Linked DNA regions of Lepisosteus oculatus. The protein of the gene in region 2 interacts with the protein of the main gene of each other region in a pairwise test. Links are inferred from orthologs where the notes say so. Each region holds a gene or a part of one and is shown on either strand. Other genes may lie near its edges.

What was found.
Region 1: the proteins of tle5 (region 2) and smarcb1b interact in binary tests that used the Homo sapiens proteins (3 or more experiments, as listed by UniProt). The link is inferred for Lepisosteus oculatus from reciprocal best matches to the Homo sapiens genes TLE5 and SMARCB1.
Region 3: the proteins of tle5 (region 2) and cracr2aa interact in binary tests that used the Homo sapiens proteins (3 or more experiments, as listed by UniProt). The two-hybrid records come from large-scale screens. The link is inferred for Lepisosteus oculatus from reciprocal best matches to the Homo sapiens genes TLE5 and CRACR2A.
Region 4: the proteins of tle5 (region 2) and mlx interact in binary tests that used the Homo sapiens proteins (3 or more experiments, as listed by UniProt). The two-hybrid records come from large-scale screens. The link is inferred for Lepisosteus oculatus from reciprocal best matches to the Homo sapiens genes TLE5 and MLX.

What each region holds. Positions count from the first base shown.
Region 1 is NC_090717.1:9,611,232-9,618,582, reverse strand, and holds the start of smarcb1b (SWI/SNF-related matrix-associated actin-dependent regulator of chromatin subfamily B member 1b), read left to right. Parts: upstream 1-4,220; 5' UTR 4,221-4,251; coding exon 4,252-4,335; intron 4,336-5,347; coding exon 5,348-5,459; intron 5,460-5,658; coding exon 5,659-5,788; intron 5,789-6,553; coding exon 6,554-6,691; intron 6,692-7,351.
Region 2 is NC_090724.1:9,409,139-9,416,243, reverse strand, and holds the start of tle5 (TLE family member 5), read left to right. Parts: upstream 1-4,090; 5' UTR 4,091-4,630; coding exon 4,631-4,657; intron 4,658-7,105. UniProt on the Homo sapiens protein: Transcriptional corepressor. Acts as a dominant repressor towards other family members. Inhibits NF-kappa-B-regulated gene expression. May be required for the initiation and maintenance of the differentiated state.
Region 3 is NC_090702.1:12,003,438-12,011,273, reverse strand, and holds the start of cracr2aa (EF-hand calcium-binding domain-containing protein 4B), read right to left. Parts: upstream 3,147-7,836; 5' UTR 3,034-3,146; intron 2,692-3,033; exon of another isoform or gene 2,279-2,691; intron 1-2,278.
Region 4 is NC_090723.1:4,645,346-4,652,517, forward strand, and holds the start of mlx (max-like protein X), read right to left. Parts: upstream 3,032-7,172; 5' UTR 2,982-3,031; coding exon 2,940-2,981; intron 738-2,939; coding exon 698-737; intron 1-697. UniProt on the Homo sapiens protein: Transcription regulator. Forms a sequence-specific DNA-binding protein complex with MAD1, MAD4, MNT, WBSCR14 and MLXIP which recognizes the core sequence 5'-CACGTG-3'. The TCFL4-MAD1, TCFL4-MAD4, TCFL4-WBSCR14 complexes are transcriptional repressors.

The DNA.
Region 1 (7,351 bases), on a different chromosome or scaffold from region 2:
CATGTTTCCTCCTAGAGCCCAAAGACATACTGGTTGGCTAACTGGCTTCTGGGAAAATTGGCCCTGGTGTGAGTGTGAGTGTGTCTGTTTGTGTCTGTGTGTGGCCCTGCGATGGACTGGTGTCTTGTCCAGTGTATACCCTGCCTTGCGCGCCCTGTTTGTCGAACTAGGCTCCAGCTTTCCCGCTCAACCGTGAACTGGATAGAAAATGGCGAGATGGTTCAGAATATAAATGCCTGGAAAAAAATAGGGATTGTTGGAAAACTGTTCAATCGGTTTATGACAATATTTCAGCAGTTACTCTCCACTGCCCTCTGGCATTTGAGATAACAGCTACATTGATGTACCTAAGGTTCATAAACACAGAAGGCACAATCTTGTAGAAACATTCCAAAGAGTCTTTGTACTCTGTGGAATCCTTCTGTGATATAATTACAGAAATAGAGACCTTTCCTCTGGAGTAATTAAAGTTTTGGTTACTGAGAAAAGTGCATGGAACATCTTTAATTGTACTTTAATGTATACAAAGTTGAAAGCCAGCTTTAGAAAATGCTTTCTGTCTGCACTTAAAAAGACAGTACTTTATCATGAGCTAAACAGTTTCTTTATTCTCTGCCATTTCCTTCCAAACAAATCTGCACTTGTTAAAAACATAATTGACTACATTATATGTTATAAAATGTAAATATGAAAAAACATATTTCGAAGTAGGACTAGTTTACTGTAAGATCAAGCATTTGTTGATGTCCCCCACCATAAAAATCAAACAACAACAAACATGTTACATTTCCAGCCCCATTTTGAGACTATAGTAAAACACAGTCTTACAAAATGTAGAGAGACTGTTAATAAAAGCCAGAATGAGGGTTGCATCTTTTAATGAGACTCCTGCTGGAAAGAATTTACCAGCAAAGAGATTTAAAGTCAAAGATATTATTGTCTAGTCATCAGGCTCCCTGAGAAATGCTATCTCTCCCTTTTTGAGCAAACAAGGTTTATATCATAAACATGACAGTGTATGCTCTCTTGTAATTTGCGTAGGCCTTTTTGAACCTATTTTTGTCTGAAACGGTCAGGGCCCAGAGCTTTAGGCCTTCCTTGTTTCTAATCAGTTCCAGTACTTTGAAAGTTCTGCCGTCTATTTTGTTCCCTTTATATGTGTTTTGCAAGCAGTTCATTTTTCATTTCCAAATTTCCATCAAATGGGAGATTGTATCAGCATTTGTCTGGAATCAGATTGTATGCGTTTGAACACCCGTGCTCTGAAATGTATGAGTGTAATTAACTTCTGAAAGCAATTATTTCATTTTTGCTAATATTGAATGCTCTGGACATAACAGGAAGAATGCAAGCAACCTACTCCTTGTCTGTTTGTTCTGTTGTCTATATCAAGGTCAATTTCAAATTATGGACAGAATCCCTTTCTTCTTTCCACAGTTTTGTACTATTATCGTTGACCTCCAGCAGCATCACTACCTTCTGAACCACAAACAACTAGGAGACCTAGTTTATTTTTAAAACGATTGACTTTGGCCCAAAGCCACAGTTCTTAGTCTTAAAGCGATTTTAAACAAAGCAAAACAGAAGCATAAAAAACTCAGATAAAATAAGCATTTCCAGATGCTCCCTCATTAATCCTGGGGATAAGTGACATAAACCATGTCTTTAATCTTTCATATATCCGTTGTGGTGTGGCTCTTTTTTATATATTAGGTATACAATAATTGTAAACTCTTATTGGTTAAGCCATTTCATCTAAAGCCATTCATACCTGAAGGTTCAGTTAAAAAGAACACTATAAAATGTAAATTTACACCAGCTGGCAGTTATTACTGCTCTATTGTAGCTATTTCTGAGTTAGTCATTAACAGAAATCCTTTGATTATTGATTAATCTTTTGCAGTATCTGTAATTACATATATTGAGGATATCCCTTTTGCAAGCCAGCACAACACTTTTTCCACCTAAGGGTACTGTAAATTGTGTCACATCCTATAAACGAATATCTTTACTTACATCTAGATGTGTCTTTCTGTCTAAGTGGATACCTCTACACCCTTACTGCTAGAGTCAACAAAATAATTTACAGAGTAATGGAAATATGGCTAAAATCTATTTTCTCAGTCAAAGAACTGCAGAGTTTATATAAAAATAGCAAAGTATCCAAAATAACTGACCCCATTACTCATGAGTCTCTGAGAACCAGAACTATAAGCATAGCATATGAGCAACAATATAAGAAGGTTCATTTCCCTCTTTCCAGACACTCATGTTGCAGAGGTCCAAGGCTACCTATATATTATTCTCCAAGCATACAAAACATGAATGCACAGTAATGGAGATCAAAGATCTTTTCGTAGCTTAAAACAGCCGTATAGATGCTGTTTCATTTTGTACTGACTCTGGTTGAGATAATTAATGTGTCTGCCCCCAGACTGTTCCTTATCTTGTTTCCTCTGTGAAAATGTAAGACAAGGCTCACAGCAAGCAGAAGGGACAGAGTTCCTCTGCAGGACGATGTTATGCTCCGTCAGAAATGGAATTGATGGTTCCACGGTTTCGAGAAACTGTGAGACAAGTCCTGCCAAGAGTGAAGACCAAGTTGACACTGAGCAAAAAAAGTGTCTTTGGACACAGCAGTTCTTTATTTTTCTTTCATACGAAATTCCTGTTTTTGTTGGCCTGCCAATATCCTCACTTTTCCAAAGAAATTATTTATATCCAAATCCTATATTAATTTTGTGCTTCCCCTGACAAAAAGTGGATTGCTAACATTAATTAAGGAGTCTGTTCACTGCAGCTGTAAGACATGGGGCATAACTTACACTGGCCTGTGCTTTTGGAGCCTTGTCTCATTTTCCAGTTCACGCAGTGCAGAAAAATTACAGAATGATGAAAGAAACCTGGAGTGCTCCAAAGTACAAGACAAGTGCTCTGATGTATCATTTCTGATCTCAGAGGAAAGCAAATACCTGTGGAAAACTAAAGGAAATGAAAGTCGCTAAATTGTCAAGATTTACTGATCACTTGCTGAATTGAAAGGAAATATAGCTCATACTGTACCTTTTTCATGAGCTTCATCACCATTTTTCTTCTTTATTCTCCCCAAAATAGCAGGGGTATGACTGAATGAGGACGCTGGTGTATCAGTTTTATAAGGGAAACTACAAATTTCATTTTAATACCCATAAATGTGAAAATGTCCTACTGAACATTTGTAAGACTACAAAACTATATTCTGTATTAAAAGTGCTATCTTTGGTGTCTTATGCTTTATGTATGTAGCTTTAGACATTTGACATTGTTAGTAAAAAAAAACCCTCTTTTAATTTCAATCCCTCGTGTTCTCAACTGTCTATAAAAAAGTATAATTACACAAATTACTGCGGAGCATTACAATAAAATTGAAATTGAACTCAATAATCCAAATTATTGTCATCCTTTCAGTCTAAACTGCTTTTAATGCTCAAAACCGCAGCTATCCTTAGAGCAAAAAGAGCCAGGAACTCTGTGCCTTTAACAAATCTACATTTAGCTCATTTAAGGAATTAACAGATGTTGGCTTGTACAACTGGGGCAATGGAAGTTTTCTTAGTTTGACTAGGATACAAGGTGGTGGTTTTCAATGGTTTATCAGGGTCGGAGAGGTAAAAAGGACCGAGTTTCCCATTGCAGTTTCCTGCCACAGTCCAATAACATACTAGTAGGTTAATTGGTTTCTAGGAAAACTGCCCCTAGTGTGTCTAATGCTGTCTGGTTCTGCCCAGGACTGGTGTCCTGTCCAGGGTGTATCCTGTCTTGCGCCTATTGCTTGCTGGGACAGGTTCCGGCTCTCCTGTTACCTTGAATTCAATGAAGTTGTTAGAAAATGTATTAGTATTAGCAAGTAGGGCAGTGGGAAATGCAGGATGTACTTGCACCCAAATTATAAAGCTGTTGCCCACATCACAAGCTGTTTTACTATGCATTGTTTCCAGACGCATGGAGTGTTTGAATACAAAGCAAACAGTTTGTGTTTGGCATGAACATTGTTTTCATTAAGAAGAAATTTTCAGAAAGCCCACGGTATTTAGATGTCAGAGGTCTACGCGAGGCTGAGCCTTCAATGCACTGCGCTAACGATTCGCTCCTGTTGGTGGCGCTACAGCAAGAACAGGAGACACCCGTTTCCACTGACTTTTTAACAACGCATGCGCGGATCGCTTGCTGTAATAGTCGCATGCGCATTGTGGTGCTTTTGTTACAGCCAAGATGGCGTTAAGTAAAACGTTTGGGCAGAAGCCGGTGAAATTTCAACTTGAAGAAGATGGGGAATTTTACATGATTGGTTCAGAGGTATGTATTTTATTAACGGGGTGTTCTTGAATCGGGTTCTGTAATCCTTTTGCTTCTAGCGTTTTTTAGAGCTGTGATATTAGTGTTTAAAGTCAACCTGGGGTACGGTTTCATTGTGTTTTGCTGTCTGGGCTTACTGAATGAACTGGCTTAGTTGGGTAAGCGCTATTTCTATTTCTCTTCAATTCAGAAAATTGAACTAAAACGATCTTGTTTTTAAAATAACTCACACTATTATGGTAGCATTTGATTAGTGTTGTGAGCAAATGTTCCTAAATTAATTAGAAAGGGCGTATTGGTTCTCGTAAAGTCAACAAGAAACACCATACGGTCACCTAGATGCTGAAGATAATGATAGAATCCACTTTATCTGGCAATGTCTTCGTAAACATTTTTCTCCAGCACGTTTTTCATTACCAGTATCTCGGATGTCACATATGTCAAACTGACAAATGCAGATTTACACGAATTTGAATGTCTTATTAATATAGTCATTTATTGGAAATGGGTTTTCTTGTTTGAGTAGAATTTACAAAGATTATAAACTAGATGAGGTCATTCGGTTAACCTGGCGTTTTCGAATGGTAATCGATCCGCGATGATCATTTTTTCAGTTTTAAATGCCTGGGTAACCATATAGTTTCTGCTTAAATTGTTTGGGCTGATTTTGTCAAAGTACAGTTACTTAGATACTTAAAGTAATCTTTTCTGTTAAAGACAAAATAGTGAAGTTCTTGAACTTGTCAGTGTAAGACATTCCTTAATTCTGAAAATATAGTATGTGGTTGTATGACATGTTATTGGTTGGCTTATATATTTAATTGGCAACGAAATAGAGGTGTTAGTAACTAGAGGTGTTTGTAAGTATTTATTCATAATTTCCAGTTAATCATAGAAAGTCATGTTCAATGTTAACATCTAACCCGCTGAGAAAAAATCAAATTATTGTATTTCCTCAGGTTCATCTACTTTAAGGGACACTGCTATTTGACTCTTTGGTTTCGTTTCCTAGGTAGGAAACTACTTGCGGATGTTCAGAGGCTCACTGTACAAGAGGTACCCTTCACTGTGGCGGAGGCTGGCTTCTGTTGAGGAGAGGAAGAAAATTGTAGCATCATCACACGGTGAGTGTCAAGTCTTTATCACTTTCAAGTACTCCTGTTGCCCAATAGCAGCATTATTATCAGCGATGATAATTTACCAATAAGTTCAAGAAGTGTGAGTCGCAATCACTTTAATGATCAGAAACATTCTCCCCAGAGCTAGTAAATCCGAAAGTTCTACTTTTGGACAGCAGTATCTTCAGTGTTTTCTTTGTGTTAGATCACGGTTACACAACTTTAGCCACCAGTGTGACTCTGCTGAAAGCATCTGAAGTTGAGGAGATCTTGGAAGGAAACGATGAGAAGTACAAGGCAGTCTCCATCAGCACTGAGCCACCTGCCTACCTCAGGTAATGTTACAAAGCACAACTTGGTAATTACTGCGATTCAGTGGTGAATCCAAAAATGTCATGCAGGTTTATGAATTAGATCAACAGAAAATCAGTCTGGAGCATCCATACCAGTGCAGCACAAATCATTTCAAATTAAGCATGTCCCATCTTGTATCATTTATCATCTTGCGATTCCATGAAGAATGCATGAAACCTCCTTAGTCTGGATCAATTAAAGTGTGCAGTGCTAAATGAGATTTCATATATATGCAAATGATGTAATGTTTTGGAATTTTTAACATCATGTTGTTATTTAATGTTATTTTTTATTACCAGAACTTGAGTTGCTTAACCAGTAAAAGTGCTTTCTTGGAGCGCAGGTTAAGCAGCGGTTACTAAGATTTCATAGGTGGCAGAGCTGCCGTGCTGCCAGGGGCCTTTCGATGCAGCGGTGACGTCTGTGATTTGTTTTTGCGGTGACATTGGTGAGAACGGCGCCACTCATCGGTGCAGTGCTAGATCTCACCAGGCACTGGGCACTTGAACGTGTTGGGAGGGTCATATCCGTCACGAGCTCCTGAGCCGGAGCAGGAACCATTGTCAGAGAATCAAGCCTTAAAACTAATGGGGGGGTTACAGATTCAGCGGGTGCACAATAAAAAAGGGCAATTGCCCTTTTCATAATGACCAAATGACACTCAGTATGTCCAGGTAAAATATATTTTATATCGTTGTAATCCTCCGCGAAAGCTCTAGGTTCTTTTTCTCACATGTTCTGCCCAGGGAGCAGAAGGCGAAGCGGAACAGCCAGTGGGTGCCCACGCTCCCCAACAGCTCCCACCACCTGGACGCTGTGCCCTGCTCCACCACCATCAACCGCAATCGCATGGGCCGGGACAAGAAGAGGACCTTCCCGCTTTGGTGAGTCCGGAGAATCGGCTGGAGCTCGGCGGCTTTAAGACCACTGCGTGCAACAGCCACCCAACTCCCTACCCCGACCCCCCGCCTTCATCATGATAGATCGCCACCCTTCATAGTTCATACTGTATTATCTCAGTCCCAAGCCTCTCCATTTCATAAGACTGAATCACCATCCCTTACCAGTTCACACTGTACCTGTTATCAGAGGACGTTAACACTCATGTTCACCACAGAGTCCTGGCATATGATTCATTCATTTTACACCCATTACAGGTTCATTATTTCAACCCATAATGCCTTAAATACAATAACAAATAAATCAGTTCTCAGTTTCCTGCATGTTCTATGACTCAGTGTTTTAAAATAGTAGTACTATTATTACTAGTATTACTATTAGTAATAAAGAATAACAAACCTAAATCATTTTGCTGGAATTTCAGTGCTTATTTACAGTCCCGTTTAACAGGAGAGGAGATATTTCTTCAGGTTGTGCTTGAACACATGCTTTTTACAAAAAAAATTTCACTAAAGATGTACTGGAACTCTGATGTATGGCAATGTAAGTGTAGTAACTGAACAAATCAAATGTCACAAAAAACATAACATAATATTAGTATAAAAATAAAACAATTCCGGGTTGAAATTGGTTTTTTGTTAGTA
Region 2 (7,105 bases):
CTGTAGTTTTTCTGCTGTGGGAGTTGAGAAACCCTCCTTTGACAACAGGGACAGAGAGATCGGTGTGATCATGGCCGTCTGAGGTGCATTGAGAAACTATGGGCTTTGAGAAATCTTAAATCTTCACAGCCCTAACATGTTCTCTGAAGCCGTCTCCTAGTCTCCTTCCTGTTTCCCCATCGTAGATAGCTGGGCATTTTCTGCAGGAGATACAGTAAATGAGGTTGCTGGAGGTACAGGATGTCGTCTGGGTGATCTGGAAGTGACCTGAGGGGCCCTGAATGAGCGTGTTGTTAGATATGTATTTGCAGGTGATGCAGCGAGCTCTGTTGCAGGGGAAGGTGCCTGGTGGGGATTGCCGAGTGCGAACGGGAGCTGTGAACAAGACGTTTACGTAGATTGGTTTGTCAGATGATTGGGCGGTTAGGGGTACCGATGGAGGGATCGCCCTGTAAAGTGGAGAAGTTGTTAATAATGGTTCTGGGGGTAGGAAGTGTGTGGTAGGGAAGCACCAAAGGAATGGGGTTGTGAGACGGGGAGTTCCTGATCGAGTTGATGATCCGAGGGCTGTTTTTGGCCCGGGTGAGAGCCCTGTCAATAACATGGGTGGGGTATCCTCTGTTGATGAAAAAAGAGACATTTTGAGTGCTTGGTTCTGGAAACCCATGTCGTCACTGCGGAGTCGATGTAGCCTGAGGAACTGTGAGAAAGGGTCTGGTGTGTTTTTGGTGTGAGTGGGGTGAAAAGAGCTGCACAGAAGATAGCTGTGTGAATCTGTGGGTTTGTAATAGACCGAGGTTGAGAGACGTGGACAGATACATTTATGTCTAGAAACTGAAGAGTGGTGGAAAATATGTTAACTGTATATCTGAGGGAAGGGTGAGAGTTGGTGAATTGATGCAGGAAGTGTTCTAGCTGGTCATTAGAGCAGATAGCAGCACCGACGCAGTCATCGATGTATCACTTGTAGAGGTCAGGGATGAAGCCAGTGTAGGAAGTGAGGAAGCGTTCTTCTACCCAGCCGACAAAAATATTGGCACTGCTGGGTCCCATCCTGGTGCCCATGGCAACTCCACTAACCTGCTGATAAAAAAAGGTTATAAAATGAGAAGGCATTGAGTGTGAGAACCAATTCCGCAAGACGCACTAGAGTGTGGGTGGGAGGGTCAAGCACTGTGTGTTTGTCTAGCTTGTGCTTGAGGGCTGTAAGACCGTCGTTGTGGGGAATGATGGTGGAGAGAGACGTGATATCCATGGGAAAAATGTAGCATTCTGGACCCTGAAATTGGAAATCATTGAAAAGTTGGAGGGCATGGTTCGTATCCCTGATATATGAGGGAAGCATTTCAACCAGAGGTCTCATAAGGCTGTCCCGGAAAGCAGAGCTGAGTGTGGTCGGACAATTGCACGCTGAGACAATGGGGTGTCCAGGGGTGTCGGGTTTTTAGATTTTGGGAAGGAGATAGAATTGGAATACTTGGGAATGTTCGACGATGAGACGGTTCGCTTCCTGGGGCAGCACCTGGTTGCTGAAAAGAAGAGCGACAGTGGATACCACTTCCTTCTGGTAGTCAGTGGTAGGGTCCTGTTGGAGAGGACGGTAGGCAGAAGTATCGGATAATTGTCTGGAGGCTTCCTTAATGTACAAGTCTTTTTGCCACACCACAACAGCTCCTCCTTTGTCTGCTGGTTTGATGACCATCTCATCCCTGGTGCGGAGAGATTGGAGTGCCTGAGTTTCTCCTTGGGTGAGGTTAGACCTGCGTTTCCTGGGTTTGGAAAGGGTCTTGGGAACTTGATTGTTGCATTGGTTAATAAAGTAATCAACTGGTGGAAACCGGCCGGAAGGGGGAGTCCAAGAGCTCCGTTTAGGATTTATATTGTTAATGGCATCAGTGAGGTGAGGAGGCGTTGTCAGCAAAATGAGCTTTGAGCCGAATCCTGCGGTGAAAACGGTTGAGGTCGACTTGGGTTTGCGGGATGTCCAGCTTCTTGGGTCTGGAACATAACAGGGCTCTGCTGAGAAGAGATCGCTCATCCTGTGAAAGAGAGAGGTCAGAGGGTATAGGAACCACAAGGTTAGGATTGGCTGAGGTGGTGAAAAGAGGATTGAGTGTGATTGAGTTTTTTACCCTTCTCTGAAGTGAGGAACTGGTGGAGTTGGGAGTTGAGGGATCTGATGAGGTTTGTTATGAAGAGAAGATGCTATGCAGCTGTGAGCCGTAAGAATGCCTTGGCTTCCTTGATGTTGTTGCCAGGAAGGGTCATCTGTTGTCTGAAGGAGAGGATGGTAGAAAGCATTAGTTTCCGCTAACACTGTTATAGAAGTCTCCGAGTATTACACAAGTCCAAAGAAAAAGTGTTAAATTTCAGGCGAAATCCTTTAGGAATGATATTATAACGACGACATCTGTAAAGGAATAGAAGGTGGTTAGAAAGCCTGGTCTTGGATCTTGGAACAGATCGCTGTGAAGAGGCGGAAAGCTGGTTTAGTGAGAGAGGGAGCAGGTAGCCCAGGGAGGAAGAGAAGGAACGACGAAGAGATCTAGAGAAAGATTTAGAGGAAGGCATAGTGGGTATAGTTATACAGTCCCACTCACAATATAGTACAATGGTACAGTCCTATACACAGTACAGTACAGTGATACAGTCCCACTCACACAGTGATACAGTCCTGCACACAGTACAGTATAGTTATATAAGTTCAGGTGGGTAGCTGCGTCAGCATGCGTAGGCTGCAAAGGAACAAGTAATAGGTTTATTCCATGCTGAAAAAAAGAAGAAAGAAAACACAACGTTTCAACTGTGGAGCCTTCTTCAGTATATAATCCTACTCACAGTACAGTGTGATACAGTCCTACACACAGTACAGTACAGTTATATAGTCCTACTCACACACTCCTACACACAGTACAGTGATACAGTCCTGCACACAGTAAAGTGATACAGCCCTACACAAAGTACAGTGATACAGTCCTGCACACAGTACAGTGATACAGCCCTACACAAAGTACAGTGATACAGTCCTGCACACAGTACAGTACAGTGATACAGTCCAACACACAGTACAGTACAGTGATACAGTCCTGTACACAATACAGTGGCCTTTCAGTTGACTCCACTCCATCCCTTGTACTGTTCAAACCGCAGCCAAAAGTTATTTCCCCATCAGCTGTGGCATCATACAGACAGCTCCTGATTAATTATTTGCAGTACAGATTATGTCTCATTAAATAGTTATGACTCTGGCCTTGTCTTATTAAAAATTCATTCGCAGAACCAGCAGGCAGTGCTCTGCTTTCAGCCGGGAGCGCTAGGTCCCGCTGGGTCCCGCAGGGCGGGCAGAGTGGACCTCTGAGACAGCACCACAGCTCTGGACTCGCTCGGACCGCTCCTTCTGATCGGCGCTTCCCTGTGCTGGGCCTGCGGGAAACATACTCCTCTTTCACAACTTCCTCTGAACCTACAGACGTCAGGGCACGAAACATCCCCATGCGAGACACAGAGTACTCGTCCACACACAGAGCTTCATCCAAACAGGTGAAGGTTCATTCTCTGCTGGAAGGTTAGAAAAAAGCAACACGACATTTGTTTCGGCACAACGCCTCGCTGTGTTTCCTTTCTTTTCTTTTCAGCAGGGAAAACACCTTCACCCTTTCCTCTGCGGCCGACGCTGCTCCCTACTCGAATTGATCTAGGTGAATCGTCTCGCTGGGATACCCACAGCCAGACGTCGTTTAAGCAGCCAGTGCACAGCGGAATCATCATGGCGGTCTAGGAGGGTTAAAAGACGGTTCCGGTCCTGAGGACTTAAAATCCCCCCGAGCAATTGAAAACGCGTGTAGTTCACAGTAACTAGACCCCCCGCACCCCTGGCCTGGACCCCACGGGTGTGCGGGGAGGAACAGAGCTCGCACCCGCGGGCCGGGAGGAGGGCGAGAGGGGGGACACATTAGACGGCAACACTTCCGCTAAGCGTTCGTGTTTTCACCCACCCGACAGCGCAGCCGGGGCCTGCCGAGCGCGCCCGAGCGCAGCGCCGCCCCAGTCCCGCGTCACGCGGGCCGCGCGGCTCGTGCGTGGTGTCAGAGCTCGAGCGCGGCGGCGACATGGTCGGTCAGCAGACACGGCACCCACACCGCGAGCGCAGCCCCACGCACACGACCCGCAGGGCGCTCTGAAAACACGTCCGCCCAGCTCATCCGCCCGCTGCCGAGCAGGCGCAGGACGGCGTGCGCCGGCAGACAGTAACGGCGAGGCAGGGAAGGGCTGCGGGGAGCAGCGTGATTGCGTTTCTGTCAGTCACGGGGAAGGGAGCCGCGCAGGAGCAGCGCTGCTTGTTCAAACTTTGGACCGTCTGGGAGGAGAACACGGTTCCGAGACTTTCTCTCTTAAAACAAAGGACAGAAACCCCAGCGCTCCGCAGTATGAGTGGGATACATTAGGGCCGGTTGGGAAGACGAACACAGGGCTGAGAAACAGGAGCGAGGCTCGTCTCCTGCGGTGACTGGCGTCGACGCGCCGCGAGCACCTCCGTCCCCGACACGGGGAGACAAAGGGAGCGATTCCAGGTCCCTCACCCCGGCTTTCGTCTTTGTTCGGCAGAAGGAATTAACAACAGGAAACTGACATGATGTTTCCACAATCCAGACACTCGGTGAGTCTCGGCGTCTTTATTCTCCTTCTCGATCCGCTCTCGCCGTGCCGTCGTGTTTAAAATCGCTGCGCGCGCGCGCGCGCGTCGAAGTGTGGGTGCGCGCGCTCGTGTGAGTGTGTGTTTTTCCTCCGGGCTCAGGGGGCACCCCGAGCGCGTGCACCCGCGCCCCCCCCCTCCGTTCCTCCGGCAGCAGCTGTTTACATTTCGGGGACCCGGCCGCCGGCGCCGCGCGGCTCCGCCGGGGTCCATTTTAAGACGCGCGGCGGGTCGCCCCTCCTGCCCCGGGGAGCGCGCGCCGTGCTGGGGGCAAACCTGGCGTTGCGTGAGCGCACGTCCGGGGGGCAGCGGCGGCGGCCCGGGGGCTACTACTGAAGCCGCGCCGCTGCCCCCCGGACAGCCGGCCGCCTTTCCGGCGAGATCCGCGCCTGAAGCGGCCCGAACGGAAACGACACGTTATTTCTGCAAAACTTCCACAAAATGGCCGTGTCCTCGCTCGCGCGCAGCGAGCTCGCCCGGGGACCCCGGCCGGGGATGGGGGTCCCTGCCGCCGCCGGCGGGCCGCTCGTCTGGGCGAGAGGCGAGGGAGTCACCCCCAGGGCCCGGGCGGGGGGTTTCCCCTGGACCCGGGGCCGGAGGAGGCGAGACGCGTTTCTCCCGCTGGTCGTCCGCGACAGTAACAGCTACCATCTTGAAGAGAGCAGGCGGACGATGAGGGACACACGCGTTTCACGATAACTTCATCAAACTGACGCTAAACTGAATATCGCCCCTCGAAAGTTGACCAAAATATGAAATTAAAATACTTAAGACAATGCCGTGTTGTAATTTATAGGGTATGTTCCTCAATTCCGCATTAACCGGTCCAGTTTAATACAGTTTATTTAAATTTAACCGGTTCCAATTGGCTTACATTTTAAACGTACTTCATTTTTACTGCAGCACCTTAAATGCTCATACGGCTGTTATTAATGAGATTTATACAGCCTTCCTCGGCTGTGATTAGGTGAGCTTGGAAAGAAACACGCACGCAGGCCACATTAATTCATGGCGTCTCAGCCTGATATTACATCATTTTAGATCGTGGTGCGTCTGGCCGTGGTTTTCGCTCTGGAGCTGCAGTCCGGGGGCTCAGAGCTGCTCAGATCTCCAGCTGGCGCTGAAAGACAGGTATAGAATGTAAATTAATTCTACTCGTTTTCTGAAGAAAGGATAGACCCGCAGAGTCCGGCCACAGATCAGCTCCAGAAGAAGGCGTCTTTGTCGCCTGGTTTGTGTTGATCATCTGGATCTCCGTCAGTTTTCGATTCATACGCTTGATTAATTAACAGGGGGTCCATGAGGGGCTGAGCAATGTGATGCCCCCCTCCCCCCGACAGGATCAGGAAAGCCCGGCGTTGTGTGTGGAGGTTCTGAAACTCCCGATGCGTGAGGTTCGGGAAGAGGGGGGTCCCAGTCGTCCTCCTCTCCAGGATGAAGAGGTTACCTGTGCACCTTGAATTGGAGCACCTGGGGAAAGCCCCTGCAGAGCTGGGCAGAACGTGCAAACTCCCCACAGAAAGGTGCCTGAGGTTGGAATGGAGCCTGGGACCCTGGTGCTGTGTCACTTGTGATTTCACCTGTGAGCGCCTGGAGTGTCACTACTGCTCCTCCTTGTCTTCACCCCCAGATCTCAACAACCCTCAACTAAGGTTGCTGCTGGAAGGGGTGTTAGTGGGACCGACAGGGGGCACTCACCCTGCGGTCCACGTGGTTTTAATGCTCCAGTATAGTGACGGGGGCACTGTACTGTAAACAGGCGCCGTCCTTCAGATGAGACGTAAAACCGAGGTCCTGACTCTCTGTGGTCATTAAAAATCCCAGGGCGTTTCTCGAAAAGAGTAGGGGTGTAACCCCGGTGTCCTGGCCAAATTTCCCATTGGCCCTTACCAATCATGGCCTCCTAATAATCCCCCTCTCTGAACTGGCTTCATCACTCTGCTCTCCTCCCCACTGAGAGGTGGTGTGTGGGGAGCGTTCTGGCGCACTGTGGCTGCCGTCGCATCATCCAGGTGGGGCTGCACACTGGTGGTGGTGGAGGGGATCCCCATTACCTGTAAAGCGCTTTGAGTGGAGTGTCCAGAAAAGCGCTATATAAGTGTAAGCAATAATTATAATTATTATTGTTATTAACTCGCCACAGTCAGTTACTGGTCCCGCTGGCCTCAAGGGGGGTACCAGCCCGGGGCCCAGTGCCCAGCGTGCTTTCTGCCCCTCAGGCTCCACACACCCTACAGTCCCTACAGCAGTGGCCCGAGGGGGACCCCGAAGACTCAGGACCCCAGCCTGAAACCTGGGCCGAAAGCTGGTCTGTGTCTGGCGTGGGGGCGCTGGTGTGGAGCTCATGTCCTCCTCCTGGGGAAAAGATCCGGCGCTGCTGAGGTGCTCAGAGGTCTCGGGATCGAGGAGCTC
Region 3 (7,836 bases), on a different chromosome or scaffold from region 2:
TGCTTCAAAAGCTCTAGTCTTCCAATATCTGCATGCATCGTTTCAAGATTCTTATGAACAATTCTCTCTCCATTAATTTGTACCCCGCCAATCTATTTCCTTTCCCTATATTCCTTCTTCCTCCCTATATTCCTTCCACTCCTACACACCTAGTCCTACCTTATCTTTGCAGTCTTATCTCATTCCCACTCTCTATTAACTTAACAAACGAGTTATCCACAGACATCAGGACTAAACCACCCCTGATGACCTTTCAGCACCAAAATACAGTAGAACTCATCTCCTCCGTCTATACCTGCGATTCTCATATTTTGTCTACAGTATATTGATACCTACAGTACAACTTTCTCCCATGAATTCTTAAGCCACAGTTAAGAATCTAAGTCACTACTTTTTTTTTTCTTGTTGCACAGTGTAACATTTATATTTGATCAAGAAATTATTTTACTGCATAAGTTAGGATTATTTTATAATGAGGCACTTTGTATAAAAGTGTCTGCTAAATGGATCAAATAAAACCATGTCCTGATTTGTTATGGATTAAGCCTAATAAGAACATAAGAAAGGTTGAATGACTGGCTCTTGTTTGTAGCCTTGTTCATTTAAGTGTTAAAACCTTATATTAGAGACAGGAAAATATAAACCCTACCTAAATCTCACTTTAGGCGTCTTTTCTTGATTTAACAAATTATTTACCCATATAGAAGAAAAAAAAACAAGCAAAATATTTTTGCTGAATATACTGAAATATCCAATTAAGCAGATTCACCATCATGCATTTTTATAACTGAAGGTTATTTTAAGAGTATCGACAGTTTTTACATCCGCACATACAGCAAATGAAACAATGTTCATTCGATTCTTTCACATGCAGCCTTATCAGTCCAAGCTAACTGAATAGAATATTACCACAGAATCTGCATTCAACAAAAAGCTCACAGAGGAAGTGGTAGTGGTGGTAAGGTACACTTGTCCGATCATATTATAGTGACCTGGAAAAAATGAAGCAGGTCCTTTACAGTACATTTAATCTCAAACATGCAAGATAGGAAAACAGTCTGATAATGGGAAAATTGTTCTATTTCAGCACACCTGTCGTATTGTAGCTGAAGACTGAATCTCTGCGTCTGCCATCATCCACATAACTACTGGTAGTCATTAAATCAAGTGGACTGTTATTTTCTAAAACAAAAATTGAACTGTAAGTTACTTCATGTCTTTTAAAACCAATAATCTGTTTTTAGACACCTGAAGAGGAAGATCTATGTTTTTTTTTTTTACACCTGAATATGTCCACGTGAAGAGGACTCACCCATGATTTTTAACAAATATACAGTATACAAAGAAGCACTGAAACAACACAGGCTATTGGTTCGAAAACCCACTTGTAATTATAAAGTCACTCTATACATTTTAGTAATTGACAGCAGTCCTGTGTGATGACAGCATTCTGGTATACACAGAAACTTTTTACATCAAATTATTTTTCACACACTGATTAGACTACTCTAACTCCTCTTTTTTTGTGCGTAGACATCAGTTTACACACTAATACGTATGGCCGAATATACTGTATTAAGGAAACTATAATTTTCTATAGATAGTGATACAGTACATGTCTAAGAACATCAAGAATCAGATGCGAAATTTGCAGTCTACAAAAGACTGACATAACATTTGTTTCACTGAAATCATGGAACATAACTTATGCCAAAAGCAACAGAAGACACATCCTTAGGAAAAATACAATCCTCACAGATAAATATTACTTTCCTGAAAGGTCCAGTGTATTTTCCACATTAAAAGCAGATTTATACTAACATCAGTATTTGAATGTGTTTTTTTATATTTTTGACTAGTGGCAAGATTCTCTCCACGTGGTGTTCAATATGTTCATTTTTAGAAAATAGACTATTTCTAAATAGATGAAAAGCAATACCTTTTCCCACCGTATTCCAAACTTAAAGTAGGAAGTACACTTTTGTACCTTCAATATACCATCTGCTTTCTATTTCAGAACTGCTGCCGAGTCTTTAAATTTTACTAAAAAACGTCATTATTGTTCAGCGTTAAAGAATAATTTTAAAACTATATTGAGGAATTCAGCTTTCAAACAACACACTTTAAATTTTAACAAACTTCCTGTTAAAACATTTCAATGGACTTGTGCTCAGCTGGTAGTACTCTAATAGATTGCACATGCGCAGACAAATACAAATTCGTTTTCATGTATACTGCAGAAGTTAAAAACTTAAGTTATTGAGAAAACATTTCTTACCTTTACTTCGATTTTGCGGTATAAAAATCATTCTTTCAGCAAGCGAAATAAAACCGTTCTACAGTCTTGCATGCGCAATTTTAGTCTCCTAACCTTGCAGGTGTCTTGAAAGTCGGTTGTTACGAATCGCCGTCATTGCTTTCTCAAACTTATTCTGTATCTCTCTGTAAACAGGTGGAAAGCAAACACTACAACTCCAGCCAGTCCTCAGAAAAGTGCAGGTTGGGTGACTCGAGGGTGGGACTTAAGAGCAGTACAGCGAGTGCCGTGTTGCCACAGTGACGCTGTACTTAAGTTGAACAAAGTAATCGTTCTGGTCTGGGTACCAAGAGTACGCTGTTCAGTGATCAATGATACGTGTTCAGTCTCCACGGTTCTGCTCTGTGAACAAAAGGAGGTAAACCACAAGGGGTAAGATGACAAAGCAGCACGCTGTGGCTGAAACCACGTAGCACAGTGAACACGAATGCTTTGCAAAGTTATGCGGCGTCCCTTGGAGTTTTGGTAGCTAGCTAGTCAGAAACTGCTACCGGCTATACTTGTACCACGGTTTCAACAAATGCCTGATGTCTGAGTAAAAATTTCTCAGTAGATGTTCCTGAATGATACAAATTAAACGCTACAGTCCAGACGTCAAAGATACAGTAATTAGAGTTAATGCAACAAATATGCAGATGTGTTCACTTACCTGTAGTAGGAAAATAGGAACTACTAATTCTTCTTGAATTTTTTTTAAATTAATTGCTTACACTTACACAGCACTTTTCTGGACACTCCACTCAAAGCACTTTGCAGGTAATGGTGAGTCCCCTCCACCACCACCAATGTGCACTATCCACCCAGATGATGCTACAGCAGCCATAGTGCGCCAGAATGCTCACCACACATCAGCTATTTAGTGGGGAGGAGAACAGACTAATGAAGCCAATTTATAGATTAAAGGCCATGATTGGTAAAGGTCAGGGGGAAATTTGGCCAGGACACCAAGGACAACACCCCTACTGTTTTCGAGAAATGCCCTGGGATTTTTAATGACCACAGAGAGTCATGACCTTGGTTTTACGTCTCATCTGAATGACGGTACCTTTTTACAGTATAGTGTACATGTCACAAGTTTAGCAACCTTTAAAAGAACATTTTCTCTCAATTAAAAACTTGACCAAACTCACAATGAGCAGTTTGTCTTGTAGGCCTTTTATCAGTTAACTTAATTTTTCTTCCCAACTGTATTGAGAAATACCATAGGCTTCAGTATATTTTGTAGGAAACCTTTTATTTAGGATAAAATTATTTTCCTTGTATTTTTCAAGGAAGTTACATTATTCATATTATAATATTAGAAAGATGGACTAGGGAGAAACAGAATGTGCAATTACCATCACCCCCAGTCATCAATAATATGATGATTAGTGTTAGATGAACATGTGTGTGGCAGAGTTAACTTTGTTTCAAACAACAAACTTTCAGAAATGAGTCAGATTTGAAGACCATTATGGTTCAATTTCCTGTTTGCTTGTGGCAAAATATACATACTGAATTCATAGTATTTCATAATACAGTACGTGTATCATATATCTACAGTACATATCAAACATGTTGCAAAGTTGTAAAGCAGTATCAGTACGTCAGGAAACCCTCAAAAACACAGGTCCTGCCCTGCAAGTATCATACTGTATACAGTACAAGTACATGTTTTTAACTTTGTTAGAATGCAAGGCCTGATACAGTATGTGTAAATTAAGCATATTAGACCACAAAATTATATGTGGTAAGTGGAAAACCTTTAAAAAGACCTCCCAATCCTATTCCTATCTGTTTGAAACCTAAGTTAAGGAGCAGCAGTAATTTTAATCTTTTTATGTACTTCACGGTGAAGATTGAGAAACCCAGATAAAAAAGCTTCAAAAATAGATTATAATGGTTATGGCTCTGGGGTTGTGCCTTTGAGCAAGGTACTTCACTCTGCTCCAGTAAAATGATCAGCTACAGTATATAAATGGGTACAAAGGTGTACAGTAGATCTCTTTGGATATTTTCATCAGCCAAATAAATCAATAATCAAACAGACACTCATGTACTACTCTGGAATTTCAGGTTGGAAAAATGTTAAGGTTGAAGTTTTGACATACTGCTGTTGTAACCAGTGCCAGGTAAGTAATTTTAATAAATCAGGAAATTAAAATATGCTCAGGTTAGATGGAAATCTCTTTCTAGCATGATTTAGACACAATACAACCAGCATACTGCAAAATATCACCAAAATTACCTGTGATCCGTATTTACAAATCACTTTACAGAGAAACAATTCCTCTCTTTAGAGCATGTCTTAGATAAATCTGAACCCACGTTTTCATCAAATTCAAGACAGAAAAGCTGCAGCACTTAGAAACCCCTCTCAATTGTTGTGGTATAGTCCACTCTCAACAGAAACAAATCACAATATAATTAATAAAATATTAAAGTATTTCAGATCTCCTAGGTATATGTTTTGTCTTTTTAATTACAATTCATTAAAATGAATGGACCTCTGATCTTTTTGTATTATATTTGCAGCTGGCTCCTATTCACTGATAATGTCTGTAGTGATATCAGATGATGAATTTCATAGCAGTCTATAAAAAACAAAATAACAACCTACTTCAAAGCTGCTTCTGTTTACCATTGCTTTTGAAATGCTTATGTCCCGTTGAATCCTGTAAAGCTTCCTTTCTCTCATGATTTGCCATTCAGATATTGAAAATCCTGTTAGTCATCTTTTGGGGTTTCTGCAGGAACTGTAATTACAAAAAGAAGGGCTTTCATTTAAATAGTGTTCTGTTCCAATAAAATAATTTAGTGTTAGTTAACAGGAATGACAGCAGCTTCTGTTTATTGGGAAAATACATCTCCTGTAATAAATTAATCTGTGATTCAGTCATTTTTCCATAATTTGTGTACAGTATATTTTCAATATAACCATATAGAAATCCATAATTTCTGTTTATAACCATATATAATGAATTTTACAATAAATGAATGCATTTCATATTCATTTCTTTTACAGTATGGTTCATTCACACTATTTAAAGATTACATGCCGAAGTTACTGACTTTGACAGGTCTACAACAGATTTTGAAAACTTCAAAAGGCAAACAAGAAATGTTTTTGTGGTAACATAGAGAGACCATCATTAGCTTTACAACAAAGACTACATCGAATACTTTCATATACAGTTCATGCCAGAGCTCTCAGTCAATCAATGTAAAGTAAATAATTTGAAATCAACATAAAAGTCGTCCTGGTACATCATTCAGGAGTCTCAAGACTTTGGAGCACCACTAAAAAGAATCATTAGATTCACAAAGAAATTCACATTGTGAGCATGTAAAAATAACCCAGTTTGAAGAGTGAGACAAATATGTTCTTAAAATATACTATATGAAATGTGCTATAAAAAAAGTAGCCAATCCACAATGGGTCATGTTGAAAGGCCAAAATGAAAAAAAAAGAAAGGTCATCCATCTAACCATTTTCTAACCACTTTATCCAGGGTTGCAGGAGAGCCGGAGCCTATACGGACAAGCCACAGGTGCAAGGCAGGATACATCCTGGATTTTAGTCAATTTACCTTTTGTACTACTATGTCTTTGGGCTGTGGGAGGAAACCCAGGTCCCACGTGAAAAACCTTTGTGAACATTTATGTAGGCTACAATATAAGCATTGTGAAACTCATTATATAGAATACATTTTCTTTCATTATTTTATATTTAATTTCAGTATATTATATTTATATTTTCTCTCAGACAATGTACATTATCCAAGATATTAAAGATACTGACATATTTATTGAAATGAATCAAAATTTAAATCTACAATTCTGTCTTTACTGCAGGAAGGAAGCTTGAAGAAGGAAATAAGTACTGCATGGCAGAGGTGGATTTTGGACCTAAACATGTGCCAACATTATGTCGTTTTGCCAGGATTCCTTCTGACCTGATTTTGAAGTTTACTCCATAAGTAAAAATCTCCTTTAGACAACCAATGTATCTAATCATTTTTATTTTAGTGAGCTTCTTCTAATAAAGCAACCACCTTTCCAAAGCCATCTTCCAAATTACAATAAGGCATACTCAAAGGACAGTATATACAGTACTGTACAAAAGTAAATACAGGTAAAATACAAAAGTTCATCAGCTTTTTAACCTGTTAGACGATGGATAGGGAATACAAGCCAATTTAAATCTGAAGTTCATGTGCTGTATTTTGTGAATTTATCAAAAATTACACTACAAATAACAAACAACAAAGGACAGTTTAAAAATTCACAAGAAAAGTTAATATATTACAGAACAAACATCAGCGCAGCTGTAAAAGAGGTAATGGTTTAAAGGGAAGCAGAATGTCCATCCAGCAATTTTCTAACTCCTGTACTTCATCCAAAACAGGGTCATGGCGGGGTTGGGAGTCTTTCCCAGTGAACACAAGTACAAGAGGGGATACACCGTGGACAGGACACCACTCCATCACAGGGCACACAGACACAAACACACACACTCACACCAGGACCAGTGTTCCCAGAAGCTAATGTAGTTAGCCTACCAGTATGTCTTTGGACTGTGGAAGGGAGCCAGACCACCCAGAGGAAACCCACACAAATATGGAGAGAACACACAAGCTTCATTTACAGTAGACAGCACCCCAGGAATTAAACCCAAGGCCCCAGGTTTGCAAGAAAGCAATGCTAAAAACCATTGCACCACCATGCACAATTTGTCAATTAAATTGGAAAAAGTGACAGTAACTAGCAGAGTAGTGAAATAACTAAAAATGTTCCTACAGTGTAAATTTTAGGCACAGGAGATACACATAGGCCACAATAAGAAGATTTTAAATGCATTATTACAATTTAGAAGATAAATAGATCAGAATAGGGCATGTTGGGAGAAGAATGCAGAATATAAATCGGGCCTTAATGAGTGAGTAGTGCAGATGAGACCTGACTTCTGACTGCTGTGCTTGAAATGACCTATTCAGGGAGCACAATGAGGGTAAAAAGAGTGTGAAAGTGTGTTACTGCATGTTCTCCAATAGGGAGATGGAAGCACACCACTGCTATGATTCAGAGATAGTAGAAGATATTCCAGGATGGATGGAAGGTGGCATCTACTGTTGTGTAACCATGAAGAGTATGGAGGCAATGGAGGAATATCCCTCAATGATTCTCACGTATACTGTATCTGCAATTCTATTGTGACCTTACCTTTTCAGCAGGAAACAACCTACCATCACCATACTCTGAACAAAGATCAGCTGACTCACATAGAGTTTTTATCAGGAAGTCTGACCACAAGACAGAAAGTGATATACAGTATCAAGATTATGTCTACTATTGCATTTTAGATCATAGAAGGCTTTGGCCACTTGATAAATATAGAGATGTTTAACTATACAAAACAAACAAAGCTCATTTGGCGAAGAATATAACAGGAGTTTAGATCATATGTGTGTCAAAGCCTTAGAAAAAAAACATAAGTAGGGCTTACTTAGGCTTGTCGCCAGTTTCCTAAATTAATGTTT
Region 4 (7,172 bases), on a different chromosome or scaffold from region 2:
GCACACGACTGAGCTGCAGCATGTAGCCCAGTTAAAGGGCGATGGAACTTAAAACTCACTGAAGACACACCCGAAAAACACCTTCCACAACGAAAACAGCAACACTCCACTGCATATTTCTAAGCATAAGGGGTGTTTTCAAAATGTCCAACGCTCAGGCAGAGCTGTCACACGTCATGCATCTCAAGATGGATCGTTTTAAAATAGATTTCAGTTGTTTGGGCAAACAGAGAAAGAGACCAAAGAAAAAAAACATACAATTTTGTAATTGTTCAAGTAGGTAGCCACATCAGCATGCGCGGCTAGCCACCCACTCGAACTCGAACGTCAGAAGGCAGGAGGTGTCTTCGGATGCCTTCTGGACACCCGAGGAAGGCTGCACACCCAAAACTCCACCTCTCTTCTTTGCCTTTCAGCATGGGATAAACCTTTACCGGTTCCAGTTTTTTAACTGTCTGACCAACTTCAAAAATACAAATGACCTCCAGAAAAGTTCACAGAGCTGACCCAGTCAGACCCTGCCCCCTCTTCCCTACGGATTCTGCCACCATCCTACCCATTCCTCGGATCCCGTGTCTCCACTGGCTTCCCGAGAGATCTGCGGGCAGGCAGGTTTCTGCTCTGGCACAGAGACGGCAGGGCTCCTGACAACACAACCACCACCGACCTCGAGATGACAGGCAGCAAGAGTACTTACAGGGGTCGAGTCCATTGTCAGCGAAGGTGGGATCCGGCTGCTGCAGAGAAAAAGTGAAAAGGAAACAAAACGAGAGATTTTAATAACCAGCTTGAGAGGGGCAATTTGACCAAGCAGCTGTCTTTTCCATTGACATGCTGTGTCAGCCTCTGCAGAGGAAAATGTAGAGCAGGAGTTTTAGATACATAATGCTGCAGTTCCTTTAGAAAGTATCCACCCCCCTTGGTCTTTTCACAATTGATGTTGCAAACTCAACTATACATTTATATGGGATTTTTCGGTGGCTGATCTACACATATTAATCTACGTCAAAGTAGAAAGGAACATTCTACCTTGTATATACCTCATACATACTTCTTTTTTGAATTTTTAAATAGAAGGTATCTGTAAGGATTACAAAACTGCTGAAAAAATAAAGAGAGTTAAGCAAAAACTGGTTTCTAATCTCATCCACACCGAGAGAAAAAAATCACTACCTCTTCTGTCATCTCCACGAGTGATATGTTCAGCTGTGCTTGGTGTTTCACAATCAGAAACAGAATGCTTTTTAATAATTTAAAAAATTTTCATTTCATTTTGCTAGAAGACACCTAATAAACCTCAATTATATCTTCTCTCGTTATTTTCTTGTGTTTTTAATATAAATTATATACGGTACCATACAGAAATATTGTTTCACAAAACTATTCATGAAGCATAAGTTCCCAAATACTGAGCTGTGCACCCAGTAAATGACTACAACGTCGAAAAATCAGTAAAACCACAAAGTAATGATAAAAAAAGACTAGAATAATTCATTCTTCTTTTCTGGTTTCGGGAAAAATGAAGGGTGAACTTTACAAACGCCGTTTAAGACAGCGGCCGATTTGCAAACCTAGAAAATAAAATATTTAATTTTGCATCCCAGATATTGTTACTTTATAGTTAATATTTTTCTTAAACAAAAGGATTTTCCGGCACCATCAATCGCCAGGGCGAAACCAGAAAGCGGAATTGTGCCACAACCCCAATATCCCAGAATCCTACGACCCCATGCAAATGAGCGAATGCCAACAGCCAATTGAAACGCAAGGAAGTAGCCAAGGGCGGGGCGTGTATACTCCCACCAATGTTTTCTTTAAACTTTTACAATGCTATTAAACTTCAATGCAATATTTGTGTGGGATATCCCCGCGTAGCATATTACACCTTTAGGGATTAGCTTGAATTGTGCGCTATATACATACCTCGCAATTCAAACCTATTTTTTTTATATTCACTTTATGTCCACTGATAATCACTTAGCCACTGCTGGCTGGTCTTGTTCTATTTATAGATCGGAAACTGAATGTTTAATTTCCAGTGACAAAGGGTAGTCGTTCGGACAAACCAGTATTTATATTAAGTGAAAAATAGGGAAATGCAGCAGAGTACCTTCAAAATGTTAACCTCCGTGTGTGCCCACGGATACTGAACACGTCTGCCGTACTGGAACCAGGAGATTGTGCGTGTAAACAACCTCACTACTACAATTCCAAATTCGGGACATAAACTCAACTCGACCCAAAGTCACACACTATGAACTATACCCCCTAAAACGGGAAACAGCAAAAGACAATTATAACAGGTAGCTTTTCATAGTGGTGAAAAATCCTTCTGTATTTTTCTTAACATGCGGCCATTGCCTAAGAGAGATTCGAGTCGCGTTTTGGTTTCAAAAGCGTGCATTTTTAAGATCGCCCATTAAAGGAAACCAGCTGGCTTCTTCTCCAAAAGCCTATAGCTTCCGGCGTCGCAAACAAAAAGAAAACATCTATTTTTTTTAATTCCCGTTTGTGTCCCATTTGCTCCGGACAACAACGTCTACTTAGCAAATCATTATTATTGATCCCTAGTCCTTAACGTACAGTGCATCGATCCAAGTAACTTCTGCACAGGTTTAGAATAAGGACTGCGGACTGAGTGGTTCTAGAAAGTGCTCCGAAAAATTAATACAAGTAGAACATGCATGCATTAAAGATGAATACGTAAGAAACCAGAAGACTTCAAAAACGAAAGTTATGTTTCATGACAATAACAAGTAGCGTAACGGAGGAAAAAAAAAACCCTTGATCGTATTTTTTTCCCCGGCCAGTGCGGTGTCTGAACGCTACAGACAGCGCTACGTTAGCTGTCGCTGCCTTTCTAGACGTGGCGGGGGGAAATCTTCCAAATATTCTTGTGTTGCTTTCACGTGTATTGAGGAATAAACTGTTTCGCTTACTTTGCTCCACGGGTCCTCCGGTGAAGTACTGGGCTCCGTCATCTTGGAAACCACGCCGGAGCATCACGGGAAGGAGAGCAAGGTCGCCCTCTAGGGCGCGAGTGTAGTAATGAACAAGTAAAGGTTGATTCCCTGCTGGAAAGAGAGGGAAACGCAACGTTTCGGTTGTGGGGCCACACCCGAAGAATAATTATAGTAATTAATAATAATTGCTTACACTTATATAGCGCTTTTCTGGACACTCCACTCAAAGCGCTTTACAGGTTATGGGGATCCCCTCCACCACCACCAGTGTGCAGCCCCACCTGGATGATGGGACGGCAGCCATAGTGCGCCAATACACTCCCCACACATCAGCTCTCAGTGGGGAGGAGAATAGAGTGATGAAGCCAGTTCATACAGTAGATTGGCTCCGCAGCCGAAACGTTGTTTTTCCTTACTTCTCTTTTCCGCAGGGAATAAACCTTTACTTTTTCCTTTGCAGCCTACGCGTGCTAACGCATGTGACGAACTACATGTGTAGTAATGGATATTCTGTCCTAGGAATGGACTTTTAAGAAAAATACCCTATATATATTAAAAAACTCAACGAAAAATCAATTAGGCGCGTTTTTAATTTTTCAAGTCTACTTGTGTGAGTGAGGTTTGAGTTTTGTTTCTGCAGTGTCTACCTTTCACCAGAAGAGAGCAGCAGAACTTTCCTATGGTAAAAGTCCAACCAATAAGACTAACAATAAGACACTGACTCTTAAGTAATAATAATTCATTAATAATTAATTCATAATAATAGATCGCCCACCCCCCTCCCACATTCCTGTATCGGAGATGTTGTGCTGAGACCTGTGGACAGTAAGCTTTTCTGGGTAATGGAGACCACAATGTTTCTCAACAGTACACTGATGCTTTCTCCTTTAAATATGAATGATGCTATCAACAGGCTATGAAAATTAAGTTCAACCCAACCACCAAAAAAGTGGGGGTCTCCCAACCAGGCTCGTTAAAGTCTCTCAAGTTTGTCTGGCCTTCAGGGAATTCACAACAATCTTCTTGGCTTTTTCCCTCCTCCCAGTGCCTCAGGACAGGCACGTGAAATATGTGCACATGTTGGGGTGCTGGCTACTCCAAGCACACTTCTCCATCTCTGTATCTGTTGGTAGGGATGTTTCTTGGTGCCGTGTGAGATAATAGCTACTAATCAAGATGAATACACTGAGGTCAGGAGCCAGCGGAAATCAGACCAGACCTGCTGCTTGAAAGAGCTGCTTCTGAAGGCAGGGGTTGATGTAAGATAAGACATTTTTCCAGACTGCTCCCAGTTTAGATAAGAAACTCCATGAAAATGATTTCCGTTCTCCATGTCGCCCATATAGGGAATTCATAAAGTAGCACAGAACTGCACAGACGAACACTTTCTAACGGCGATACTTCAAACACAGTGAATAACACATGTTGTAAGAAGACTTCCAACAGGAATGGCAAAATGCTGCTTGGACAAAATTAAAATTATATTTTTGCATAAAAGAGGAAAAAGAGCACCACTGAATTTCATGTACTCTTGGTCAATTAAATCACATTTCAGGATCCACCTAACAAAAGTCAGTTCTAACATCCTCTTAAATACATTTTCTCTATGAAGTGATAAGGGTTGATAGGCTTAATATTATTAAATTGAATAAGACATAATTTTTGCTGACATTCCCTACCAGTCTAAAATTATTTTGGGGACTTGGTTCTTAAAGACGTCTGGTTGGGAAAAAACGAGACATCTGGACATGCTTCTCCAACATGTCCATACATACAGCTATTCATCACTGGACAGTCGGCCCGGCGTCAGACAGCTCAAGAGAACCTGGGCTGAGTAAAGCCAACACTATCCCAGCAGCACCTGAGCTTGCGTCGGTGCTGGGAGAATCTTCATCACAGTTGGCACATGGGACAAGACACAGGCTCATACCCACAAAGTCAGGCTAAATATAATTCACCCTGATCTCTAATCTACCACCTGTACTGCCTGCGCCACTCAACAGTTTTAACACATCATTGCTTTTGAAACCTGACACCCACTGCTTAAAGACAGCTTATACTTATCACTACCCTATACTACGCTATACTTATGCTCTTTTTGGCTTTAAGGACTACAAAGTTAAAGCCCAGCCCTGTTACCATTTTAAATTGAGTGTGGATTATATCAAAGGCTATCTGGATTGCAGTGTTTAGAAAAGAGAGGGAGATATGTTCTCTTGAGAAGCGGTCAGCGTTTCCTTTCCCAGGACACTCAAACTCTCCCCCGCTCTACAAAAAAACCAATATTTTCAAGTCCAATGTTCATCGTCTTCACAGAAGACCCAGATCATAGACACATTCTTCTAATTGTAAAACTGAGATTTTCAGAGCAGTGGCTTCTCCCTTTCAATGTTATGGTATCACAGCAGGCCTCCTGTTAATAGAAGCACCACTGTGACAGATAGTGGACCAAGAGAAATGCTAGCTGCAGTGTAAGCAGTAATTGCTTACTGCTGTTACTGTCTCACCTCTGAGTCCCCACCCTCTACAGCTCATAGGGGTGCTCCAGGCCCACTGCGCAAAAGAGCTGTGTCAGGAGACCTGGGAGAAGACATCACTAGTCACAGTCTCACTTTCAGTCCTGAGACCTCCCCAGCACCGAGCACCAATTTACAGTGGCAACATCAAGGCCGTTCCCGGATTTTATTGGGAGTACCTGGATTACTCATCGCAAACTCAAAAGGGAGCATGAGGAAGAACATGCACACTTCACACAGCCAGGTGCATAAAGTCAGAATCGACCCCTGGAGATGTACATCTACTGTCACATCAACTACCAAGCCACTCTGCTGGCCATGACAGGTTATGTTCGGTACAGGAGGATAATGATGACGCATGCCCTGTTAACACGGATAACATCTGGACAGTGTTTTTGCAATCTCCCATGTTATTAACATGCTTATACCAGGGGCTTTTCTTTGCTCTGACATAGATGTACATTCCTTAAAATACATTTCTATAATTTACGGCATTTTAGCATGATTTATTGTTACTGCACCTCACTCTGCCTTCACCACGGAGTGCCAGAGTTATTTTATACAGGAGAGTGTCGCGGGCGTGACTGCAGTTCCCCTGGCAGGACCCTTGCCTCGGGATAGATTGCTGTCATCTGAGCCCCCAGAAGCATGTGAGAGCTGGGAGGCTCGCTGTATCGTCCCAGGCAGATCAGTAACGCTCGTGCCCCGCACCACGGGTATAAATAGAGCTTCAGGGGGTATCAGTGCTGGAGCACAGCGATGGTCACCAGCAGTAAATGGGGCATTAATCCAACTGGTTAATCTGGAAGGGTTCGTGTGAGGGCAGGCAGGACAGCCAGCTGTGGTCTACGAAATGTTTCCTAAATCTGCGATCATCGCGATTACAAGATAAACTTCTGGTAACTGCCGGGTCACCATCCAGTGGTTTCCAGGTGTGAAATACCAGGATTCAGCTCGGAAGAGTCTGTAAAAATAAGATCAGCTAGAAGCAGGCTGAAGTCCAAGTGCCAAAAGTGCTTTGGTTTTCTGTCATATTTCACAACACACACAGACCTTGGGAATGTGTTGCATTTAATTTGCTTACTTGTCCATTTATTTGTTTCATGATGAATTACAGTCCGTGTCCTGTTGCCAATTATGCTAGTGCTAAAAATGAACAGAGTCTTTTATACCAGCCAGCTTTGCCAGCTTTCCCACAGGCTCTGTAAGTCTTGCTCAGTGATGTGATGGGTAGTGGTGATTCTTGAATGATGTTAGGATTAATGTATTTCATGTATTTCTGAATAAAGTATCACATTTTTTGTCATAAACCTCAAGGTATAACAATAATGGTTAAATCATAGGATTATTATGATTATTCATGTTTTTGTCTATTTAAATGTTTATGATCATCATTATTGGCTGATTACTGATTGCAGTAGTGATAACTGATTTCAGTGCTTCGTTTCCTATGATTAAATAATAAAGGTTTGATGTAAGTCTATGTAGTGGGGATCTCTGTTCTCTAAGTTGCTAGCATGTCTGTTTTAATCATATCATAAGGCCGTACTGTAAATAAGTCCGGTGATCTATGACAGCCCTCACTGGAGCATGTGGCACACACCTGCCTCTGCGTTCACTGCTCCAGGTTTGCGCCTGGTTGACAGGGAGGGAGCAGTCCAAAGTCTTCAGACACGTCACCATCAGCTCCGGC